Tribolium castaneum: one gene and its partners. The protein of the gene in region 1 interacts with the protein of each later gene in a biochemical or structural test. Links are inferred from orthologs where the notes say so. Each region holds a gene or a part of one and is shown on either strand. Other genes may lie near its edges. The genes, in order: nuclear RNA export factor 1, Ref1 and Ran.

The links.
Region 2: the proteins of nuclear RNA export factor 1 (region 1) and Ref1 form a complex in vitro, tested with the Homo sapiens proteins (2 studies listed by BioGRID and IntAct). The link is inferred for Tribolium castaneum from reciprocal best matches to the Homo sapiens genes NXF1 and ALYREF.
Region 3: the proteins of nuclear RNA export factor 1 (region 1) and Ran form a complex in vitro, tested with the Homo sapiens proteins (2 studies listed by BioGRID). The link is inferred for Tribolium castaneum from reciprocal best matches to the Homo sapiens genes NXF1 and RAN.

The regions. Positions count from the first base shown.
Region 1 is NC_087399.1:3,674,888-3,677,381, reverse strand, and holds the end of nuclear RNA export factor 1, read right to left. Parts: intron 1,808-2,494; coding exon 1,771-1,807; intron 1,722-1,770; coding exon 1,308-1,721; intron 1,261-1,307; coding exon 1,087-1,260; intron 1,030-1,086; coding exon 881-1,029; intron 833-880; coding exon 733-832; 3' UTR 560-732; downstream 1-559.
Region 2 is NC_087395.1:19,979,780-19,982,641, forward strand, and holds Ref1 (THO complex subunit 4), read right to left. Parts: upstream 1,801-2,862; 5' UTR 1,689-1,800; coding exon 1,506-1,688; intron 1,401-1,505; coding exon 977-1,400; intron 902-976; coding exon 804-901; 3' UTR 561-803; downstream 1-560. UniProt on the Homo sapiens protein: Functions as an mRNA export adapter; component of the transcription/export (TREX) complex which is thought to couple mRNA transcription, processing and nuclear export, and specifically associates with spliced mRNA and not with unspliced pre-mRNA.
Region 3 is NC_087395.1:25,444,923-25,448,686, reverse strand, and holds the start of Ran (GTP-binding nuclear protein Ran), read right to left. Parts: upstream 2,475-3,764; 5' UTR 2,343-2,474; intron 1-2,342. UniProt on the Homo sapiens protein: GTPase involved in nucleocytoplasmic transport, participating both to the import and the export from the nucleus of proteins and RNAs. Switches between a cytoplasmic GDP- and a nuclear GTP-bound state by nucleotide exchange and GTP hydrolysis.

The DNA of each region.
Region 1 (2,494 bases):
GTTGTTTTCTTTTGGGAGAACAGCCATATTTTCAGGCTTCTGTCTTATTTTTTAATGGCAAATAATCTAAAGTCTTGTTCAGTTCGTATTTCTGAATATTGTCTTTATCTCCCAGTCATTTTGGGAATTATGATTAAATGTTATGATTAATATTTTATTGAAGATTTTTTCCTGAGATAAACAATTGTGTATTTTTTCCCAAACTTACCTTGAGTTAGTAATTATGTAATAATAAAAAATTAGCAATCATAAATTAAATTAAGCATTTCCTCAAGTTCAAAAATATTGGTCTAATTTTCACGCAGCAGACAGTCCTAAATCACCCAGTAATTCGAAATATGGCCTGAATCAGATAACTCCAAGCCCAAAATTATCGAAATATAAACGTAATAGCTTCATTAACTCCAAACCCCTTATCCAATAAATAACTCCGCTTGACACTTATTACTCTTTTATGTTTCTGATATTAAATGAGGCAGAGCTTTCGTATTCCCTTCGCACAAGTGTGTTAAATAACACACTTTTCTGGCATAAATCACCCCAAATAAAACAACACTCCTGTTATTCACTATTTATTATAAAAATAACTGACACAGTCTCATTGAAATTAAGCTTCATTCACAAACATAATCGAGTGTTTTTATTTACAGTTGTAATAAAACTAATGATAAACATTATCAAATACAAATTTTATAAAAAGAACAACATGATGACTTAATTCGATTTATTTCACTATTTCACGAACGCTTCAGGCGGGATTAGTCCTTGTTTTTGCGCATCTGCGAACGCACTCAACGCTCGGGTAAAATCCCACTGGGTTTCTTCCAAACACCTGGCAGTAATCAAATTAGCCAAACGTAAATCCACATCTATATTTTACCTCCTTGACCACTCCAAATTCATGGTGGATTGTTCGGCCATTGCGGTGACCATCTGTTGCCTCGTGGAGTCGTCAATGGGCGCAGGGGTTGCCACAGGCGACGCCACCGGAGTCGGGGGCGGCGCCGAAACCACAGTCTTGAAAATATGCTAAAAAAATCACGAGTACAATACAACATTTTTTCTTCAAGTTATTAATCGACAAACCTTGGCTTGCTCGTCGGTGGCGTTTGTAATATGCAGTGTTTCATTCGAGATACAGAAACCTGAGCCTGCAGGTACTATAACGAGTGTTCTGAAAAAGGCTCGCGTCGGAGGCACTTTGTGTCCGCTTTTCAGTTCTTTGAACATCCCAGTGACCGTTAAAACGATCATTAATGGCTGAAGCAACGTTATCACCAACTTGACGAAACCAAAATTCGACTTACCGTAAAAACAACAAGATCAACCGTGAAACTGTGAATATCGTGTTTACTCCGAGGCATTTCTTGCAGAAATGAAACAACAGCCACTTGGCCCTGTTTCAGTAGTTTGTTTCTCCGATCCGGGTCTTGGACCTTTTGCAGATTCCTGCTATCAGTGGTGTACCAGTTTAGCCAACTGGCATTCTTGTCTCTGTGTCCGTACGGGTACGACATGGTCATTGAAAATAGGGCGCTTTCGTGATATGCTTGTAACAAGGGTTGGCGATTTTCCGAATCGAAAATTAGAAAATACTGTTCGAGGAATTGTCGAACTATTGATTCGCCCTCTTGGTTACATAAAAATGTTTGTTGGATTGGTGGTAAGTGGGTTTCTTCCTGAATGTCGAAACTTATGGGTGGGGGTAGATCGATTCCGTCCTTTGAATGGTTTTATGAAGAGGCGAACAAGCAAATTAAATAAACTTACCAGTTTCATTACTTTGGGGAAGCGTTTGCGGACTTCACTGCGGAAAGAGAAGAAGTCACCCGAAGGTGTTAACAATGGAGGTGGCAGATTTGCTCAGCATTTATGTTTAGATGAAAAACAAGAGGTTTTAGTCAAAATGGAATCAGACTGACAAATTGATCGAAATTTAAGCGAGTCAATGTGACAGAAAAGAGAAGCGTAAACTCAGAACGTGTGACTATTTTCGTAACGAACAAAACAAGAAAATTTAATGAAGATGTCTAGAATCTAATAAGAAATTTGTGACGATCAGGAAATCGAAGACGTTCTCCTTCGAGTACATTTAACTTGAATTGACAAAGATCTCAACACGTTAATACTTGAAAATCTCACGAGAACTATTCGCTACGTTTCAAGAATTCGGAATCAATCCGATTAGATTTCGGACAATGGAACATGCTTTGTTTCTTTTATAATCGTTTAGGATTTTATTCTAGTCTTGAAGCACAAAGTTCTGCAAAAAAGCCAGTCTATCTAATCCCCTAATGGTGCCACAGGATACTATTGTACTATACACCTGCTCCAATTTGGATGAAGCACCCTTAGGGACATCCCTTTTTCGTTTTTTATCTTTCATTTAGGGCGGATTTTACAATCGTAGGATTACTTTATCTAAGAAATAAATTTTGAAAAATACATTGTTATAACAATTGTAACCATAGTAATTATACTAGAAATAAATTAT
Region 2 (2,862 bases), on another chromosome or scaffold:
TAGGAACTAAGAAAACTTAATGTAATTTAATTTTGATACAAAATTGTGAACATTACAAGCAGCCACAAGACAGCTCAGTTACTATAATTATTAATCTTACACTGTTGCTTAATAAATTATTATTTTCTTTTAGTATTCTTTATTGATGAAAATTACGTTGAGTGCACTCGCTTCGATTGGATGTACTTTTTGTAATTTGTTTTGTCGTATATTTAGTAATATAAACCCTAAACGCAAGTTCTCACGGACCCACTTTAGTTGTTCAATTAAAGATGAAAATTTTTAATGGAAATCATCGTAAAAAACTTGATCCACTTAAGACACAACAAAGATTCTGACGATGATTTTTGTTGAAGTTTTATTGTTCAACTTGAAATAAACGACTAAAATCGATCCGTGTCAACGTGCCTTTAGCGACAACTGTTACAAGATTTATTATGGTTTTAAATCAAGATTGAAGGCGATTAATTTTTTATACAACTCGGTCTTAACGTCATGTGATACATTTGGCTGATGCAGTTTTATGTATAAATAAAAAAAATTTCTAATGAAACGACAAGTCACACTTAATTCTTATTTATTCCTATCAATACAATTTACATTAACAAGAGAAAACAGCCTAACACTAGATTTAGTTGTGGAAAAAACGAACCGCATACGTAATCCTCGTACTTTAGTGGTTATTTTTTATAAAATGTAAGGCTCGATGTTACAATCAAAATACAAAATAAAAATACGAAAGAACTAAACACAAGTCACAAAAAGTGGCGCGTTGAGCGTCTCTGATATTAATAGCACTTATTTTATTTCATCTCCTTGGTGTAGGCGTCTAATTCAGCGTCGAGTTCTTCAGCTGTCGGTTGTTTCTTTTGATTTCTGAAACTTCGTCCTCCTCCACGACCTGGCAAACAAACATTTGTTTAGTTGAAAAATCCGGCTGTTGGAGGCGTCGCCGCCGCTGGTCAAGTAATTGTACCTCTGTTAGGTCGTCCCTTGGCAGGTGCAGCCCCTCTTCTGCTTTGGAACTTCCTCTCTCCCGTGGGCCTCCTGACCGGCGACGGAATCTCCGACGTGATGATTTGAATGTTCATGGCGCGTCCGTCGAGAGGCACTCCGTTGTACTGCTTCATGGCCTTAATAGCGTCGGTGCGCCTTTCGAAAATCACATCAGCGGTGCCGAGCGACCGCCCCGAGCGGTCATAGTGCACCGAGGCGCTCTTTAGCGGCCCAAACTCGGCGAACAATTCCTGAATATCCGAGTCGGAGACCGCAAAGTCTAAATTGCCCACCATGAGCTTAGTGGGGCCCACATTGGACTGCACAACGGCCCGAGCCGCGGCCACTTTACGCGGGCCGTAGCCCTCGAACAGATCGTGCTTCCAAGCACTGTTCACATCTCCCTAAACAAACATGGATGGGGGTAAATTCCGGCTCTCCGGCTGGATGCACGCTAGCCGCTTCCATCGCGGGGCAGCTTAAGTATAAACATAGTTAGAAACAATTACCCGGGTGTACTGGCGCGTTATTCCTCCGCGTCCTCGGCCCCTTTGGACGCCGCCGGCTCTTCGGAACGTGCCGCGTCTTGGCGCGCCACCCCCGCGGGTTCCGCCGCGACCTCCGCGACGGCCGCCGCGCCGGGGCTTGGATTTTATTATCTCATCTAAACTCATTTCAATTGTGTCGACCATTTTTACTGATTTTGTACGCTGATTTGACTGAGAAATTCACTTTTTCTACACCCGGCGGCAACGCACACAACCAACGACAAAATGGCGTACAAAATGAACGACAGACGCTGTGCGCATGCGCCACGTCACTGCGCTGTCGGCAACACAGGAACCTGCCCGGATTTTACCAAAAAAAAATACGACCGCATGTATTAGGCAATTTTTTGCATTTTCAGCATAATACAGAAACAAAGAATAAAAACTTATTTTTATGTTTATGAAATAGGTAACCTATTTACACCAATGTAAAAACACCGCTGTATTATTGGTTCCCTATACATTCAATTTTTTTCAAACTTTGTTCTACCAGTTTATGTAGGTAGGTATTTGTAAATGAAATTTTGTTCTTCTACCTAATGTATGTTAAAATATTGTCAATACAAAACAGATGTTTATTTATATTGACTCATTAACACATTTTAGTGTTTGAAGAATCTTTGGCAGAATTGAAATATTGTGTAATGTTAGACTTTCTTTATTTGATCCATTAAAAGTAAAAAAAATCAAATGTGAACACGTTTAAATTTAAAAGAAATTTAAAAAATGTAATAAAAAAATATTAATTTAATTTAAAAATTCCAACAAAACAAACACTCACGCGAAAACGTTTAAAGTTCTCGGGTGTATATTATGTAACTCGCATACGCTCGTTTGCTCAAATCACCGTCTGTTAGTCATATAAACTTTGGGAAAAGTACTCAAAAGACGCAATCCCAATTTCCTAGTTGATATTGCGTTTCTGATTAATTTTTAGACGCTGAAGTGAAAGTTTCAACCTCTAATATCCCAAAAAATAATAAAAGTTTGGATTAAGTAGTTAATTACACAGTAATTAGATGTCAAAACACAAAAAATATTTATTTTTAGTTAGTTAATAATTTGTTCATCAGTTAACACTTCTCTATTATATTAAATACTTACTATCAACCCCGACATATTTCTCAAAATTCTGTGAAAAGTTCGTTATGAACGGAAAACTAGTTCGTTTTATCCGTAAGTTCTCCACCACTGAAGTTTAATCCTGAATTAAATTTTATTTGGCTTTGTACAGTAACTAGTCCCTAAGACTATAAATTTAGTTAATTAATTATTATATTGATTTTTTTAATTAATTAATATTTATTGTAAGGAATTG
Region 3 (3,764 bases), on another chromosome or scaffold:
TTAAAAAAACTGAGTTTTTAGTTCATAAAAAGCAAAAAGTAATCGTTTTCCATCTAATTTTCTAATTTTTCGGTTCGGTTTAGCAAAACCTTGTGGAAAAAGGGCTTCAGGGCTCGAAAAGAGCAACAGTTCATAAAATTTTAGTACCTTCTGTTGTTTTATGACTTTACCAATCAACAAGCCTCTTCTGCTTCGAGTCCTTTCGTTTCTCAAATTGTGATTACAAAAAAAAAATCGGTTTAAAGCGAGATTTGAAGATTAATATGTTTTCAAAAAAGATCTCTCGAAAGTATTTAGTCCCATCTTTGTGAGCACACATTTTCGTACAATTGAATAAGATTTTTTTCCATACTGTTGTCGCTCTCGTGGGGGTCTGTTTGGGGCAAACAAGGGCGCGTGTCCACCCCTGTCGCAATGAAACGAGTAGGCCGTCCATCTCCGCTAATACATTTACCGATATAAAATAACAAGAAGCCGTCACATTGTGACGCGACCATGTGTTAGAGGAGGTGACGTCCTCTCCGGCGGCGGGTCTCGTTCCGCCCCCCACAGCTGCATCGCGCCCCGTGCCACACAGTGCACCGGAAGCACCCTCGGAAGTTGCTTCGTTCAAACAAAAAAAAATCGCAATTTTTCCGAAAAGTTTTATAAAATCAGAGCCGTCTTATTGTTCACGTGGTGGTCGAGATGTTGGCCATCTTGGCGCTGGCGGCCTGATTATAGTGATAAAAGAGCGAGCCGGGTCTTGATTTGGCCCCCAAAGGCAGAAACTTTTATTTCTTTGACAATGTATATCATGAGGCAGCGACTCATTACTTTTATGGCGAATTAGGCTTGGCAGCGGCCCAAGGGCCCCCGTCCAATGAACATGTTTTGCAAAGAATGGGCTTTTTTGAAATGCTGGCTCGTAAAATGACAGAATAACGTTTGCAGTTTCCTGTCGGCGAGGCTAAGAGTAACGCAATACTTTATTATATCGACGACGACACAGAGGACCAAAAGCTACGACATTCCGGATGTGGCGAATGCTATTGTAGGTGAAGCTTTTGTGCACTTCACTTGCAACAATTGCGGTTTCCTGAATAACCTGTGAGCTTTCCGATCGCTTTGATGTCTTCATACGGTAATTGTGCGATTCGATGCTCATTCTATGCTCCGGGACCCAAATGGAAATCAACTGCTCCGGAATACGTAATTCTATACTATTTCTAAGACGCATTTACTCGCAAACAAACAAATTTTCGCAATTTTCTACTTGGCGCAAACACACAAGGTGGGCAATAGCAAAATCAACAATTCAGTGGAACGCGGTCATAACGAACACCCAAAGAACAATTTTCAAGTTAAAGGAGTTCCAAAGTTTGGAATAGATACAGGAAATAAAGTATAAATAGACTTATTAAAAAATATTACATATTATGATAATAAGGCAAATAAGTCCGATAAGTCCGAGTTTAGAGTTTGGTCGAAAATGACCAGAAATTTACCTTTCCTAGGCGTTTATTCAGCAATAACTCAATTATAAATAACAGAATTATGTCAAAAATGACGAGTTCTGAAAGTTTAAGCACGTTTTTAGAGCAAAAATCAAGGTTTTCTTCATGTTTTTCTTAAACTAAAGTGAAAAAATCACCAAATTTGGTCGGAAATCAGCAAAATTTTACCTTTTCTAAGCGTTTATTCAGCAAAAACTCAATAATTGCGCAAAATTTCTTAAAAAGTAAACCAATAAATCACAGAATTATGTAAAAAATGACATTATTTTTACAAGTTCTGAAAATTTAAACACATTTTTAGACCAAAAATCAAAATTTCCTTTCGTTTTTTATCAAAGTGGAACGAAAAAATCACCAGATTTGGTCGAAAATGACCAAGATTTTATCTTTCCTAAGCGTTTATTCAGCAAAAACTTCATTATTGTGCAAAATTTCTCAATAAATCAAAGACTTATGTCAAAAATGACATTATTTTTGCAAGTTCTGAGAATTTTAACATGTTTTTAGACCAAAAATCAAGGTTTTCTTCCTGTTTTTATTAAAGTGGAACGAAAAAATCACCAGATTTGGTCGAAAATGGCCAAGATTTTACCTTTCCTATGCGTTAATTCAGCAACAACTCAATCAAGTGTGTTATGAATGGGTTCGTTATAAACGGACGCCACTGTATTTTTGCCTAAATATTGGACGTTAAAAGTGATGTTTGTTTGTTCGTTAAAACCGAACCAGTTTGTTACTACAATAGGTATAGGACTTTAAAACGGGACTTATAATTTTGTTTGTTATATCCGAGCGTCTGTTAAAAGCCGGGTTCATTATAACTAATTTTTTTTGAGTTTCACTCACCAAAGCACACACAGCGAAGGACCAGAGACTCAGTAAACACGAAATTTTGGCACAAAACACACTTTTTCACCTCAAATTTGCATTTTTGTCCCACTTTTCACACAAACAAATAATTGCAAATGTCAAGTTGTCAAATTTGCATTTGGGGATTTTTTATTTAAAACAAAAAACGATCGAACGTCGATCAGGAACAAATTTAATTAATTCATTAATAAAAAATATATTTTGTCTTAAGAGTTCTTCGTAGGTCTTACCCAACTTTGTCCAAATATTTTTTTTTACAATTCCGTAGAGATTTAATGAGAAAATAATTAATTAGTTGAGGGGTTGAAAGTGTCCTTGGGAATTTTGCATTTAAACAATTGAGTAACACCTGCTTGGGGGGGAGCTACAGATATTTTATAATCAGGTTTTTTTTTAATTAGTAATCAATAATTAGTGAATGATTCGTTTGGGAAAATGTGCTAACAAATCAAAATTTTATTTTTTTGCCCACCTTTTAGCCGGGCGTCGAACCTAAAAAAAGATCGCTTATCTGTCAAAATATAGGTTACCGGTGATTGTGTAGTGTTGTGAGTTTTTCTGATTCTTTAACAAAAACACTTTTAGACCTTATCGAGGTGAGTAGTGCGAGTGTATGAATGGATCGGTGTAAAAAAAATTCCGATTAATGGCTTTGTCTTGCGGTAAAAAACGACAGAATGGCTTTGAGGTTATGCAACTTTCACGTGTTTTTTGGGCCGATCGGGTTCATGTCTCGCTGTTGTTTTGCTTATTTGGGGATTAGATGACAAAAAAGTTTGTTTTGCGTAATGTTTAGTCGCGTTTTTGCGGGAATTATGTTTTTGTGGGTTAAATCGTGTGTGGGTCCTTGTCGCCACCTGGCGGTGGTTTGCGTGATGACGGGTCGCGGCGTTTTCGAATTTGGTTGAAATTTGAGACGGTTCTTGTTTTAGTAAAAAATTGATTAAATCAGCGAAATTTCGAAATTATAACGGCGGATTTAAGGGCCTGGGGCGCTGTGTGGCAAATTACATTAATATGAAAGTAGGAATTGATGGTAAATTCGAAATTGTAGCCTATGGAACGGTGAGCTTATTATTATGTAGTGCTTTTTTAAAAATGCTGAACGCTCTGCAAAGTCCCTAAGTTACAATTTCGGTATCAGATTGAAAATTGCTATTTTGTGCAAATTAAGTTGCAGTCGGTGATGTGTGTTATTATTTGAACGCATAACCGACGATTTGCATATCGGAAAATGGACGAAAAAGGCGCAGAATGCCAACTCGTGACCTTATCTAAAAGGTGGTTTAATTCGGTCTTGTTGCTCGTGTTGCAGATCATGCCACCTAAAAAGGTACAAGAGCCGGAGAGAAAGCCGCTCATAGGGCGGGTGGGCACCAACTTGAGGGTCGGTATCGT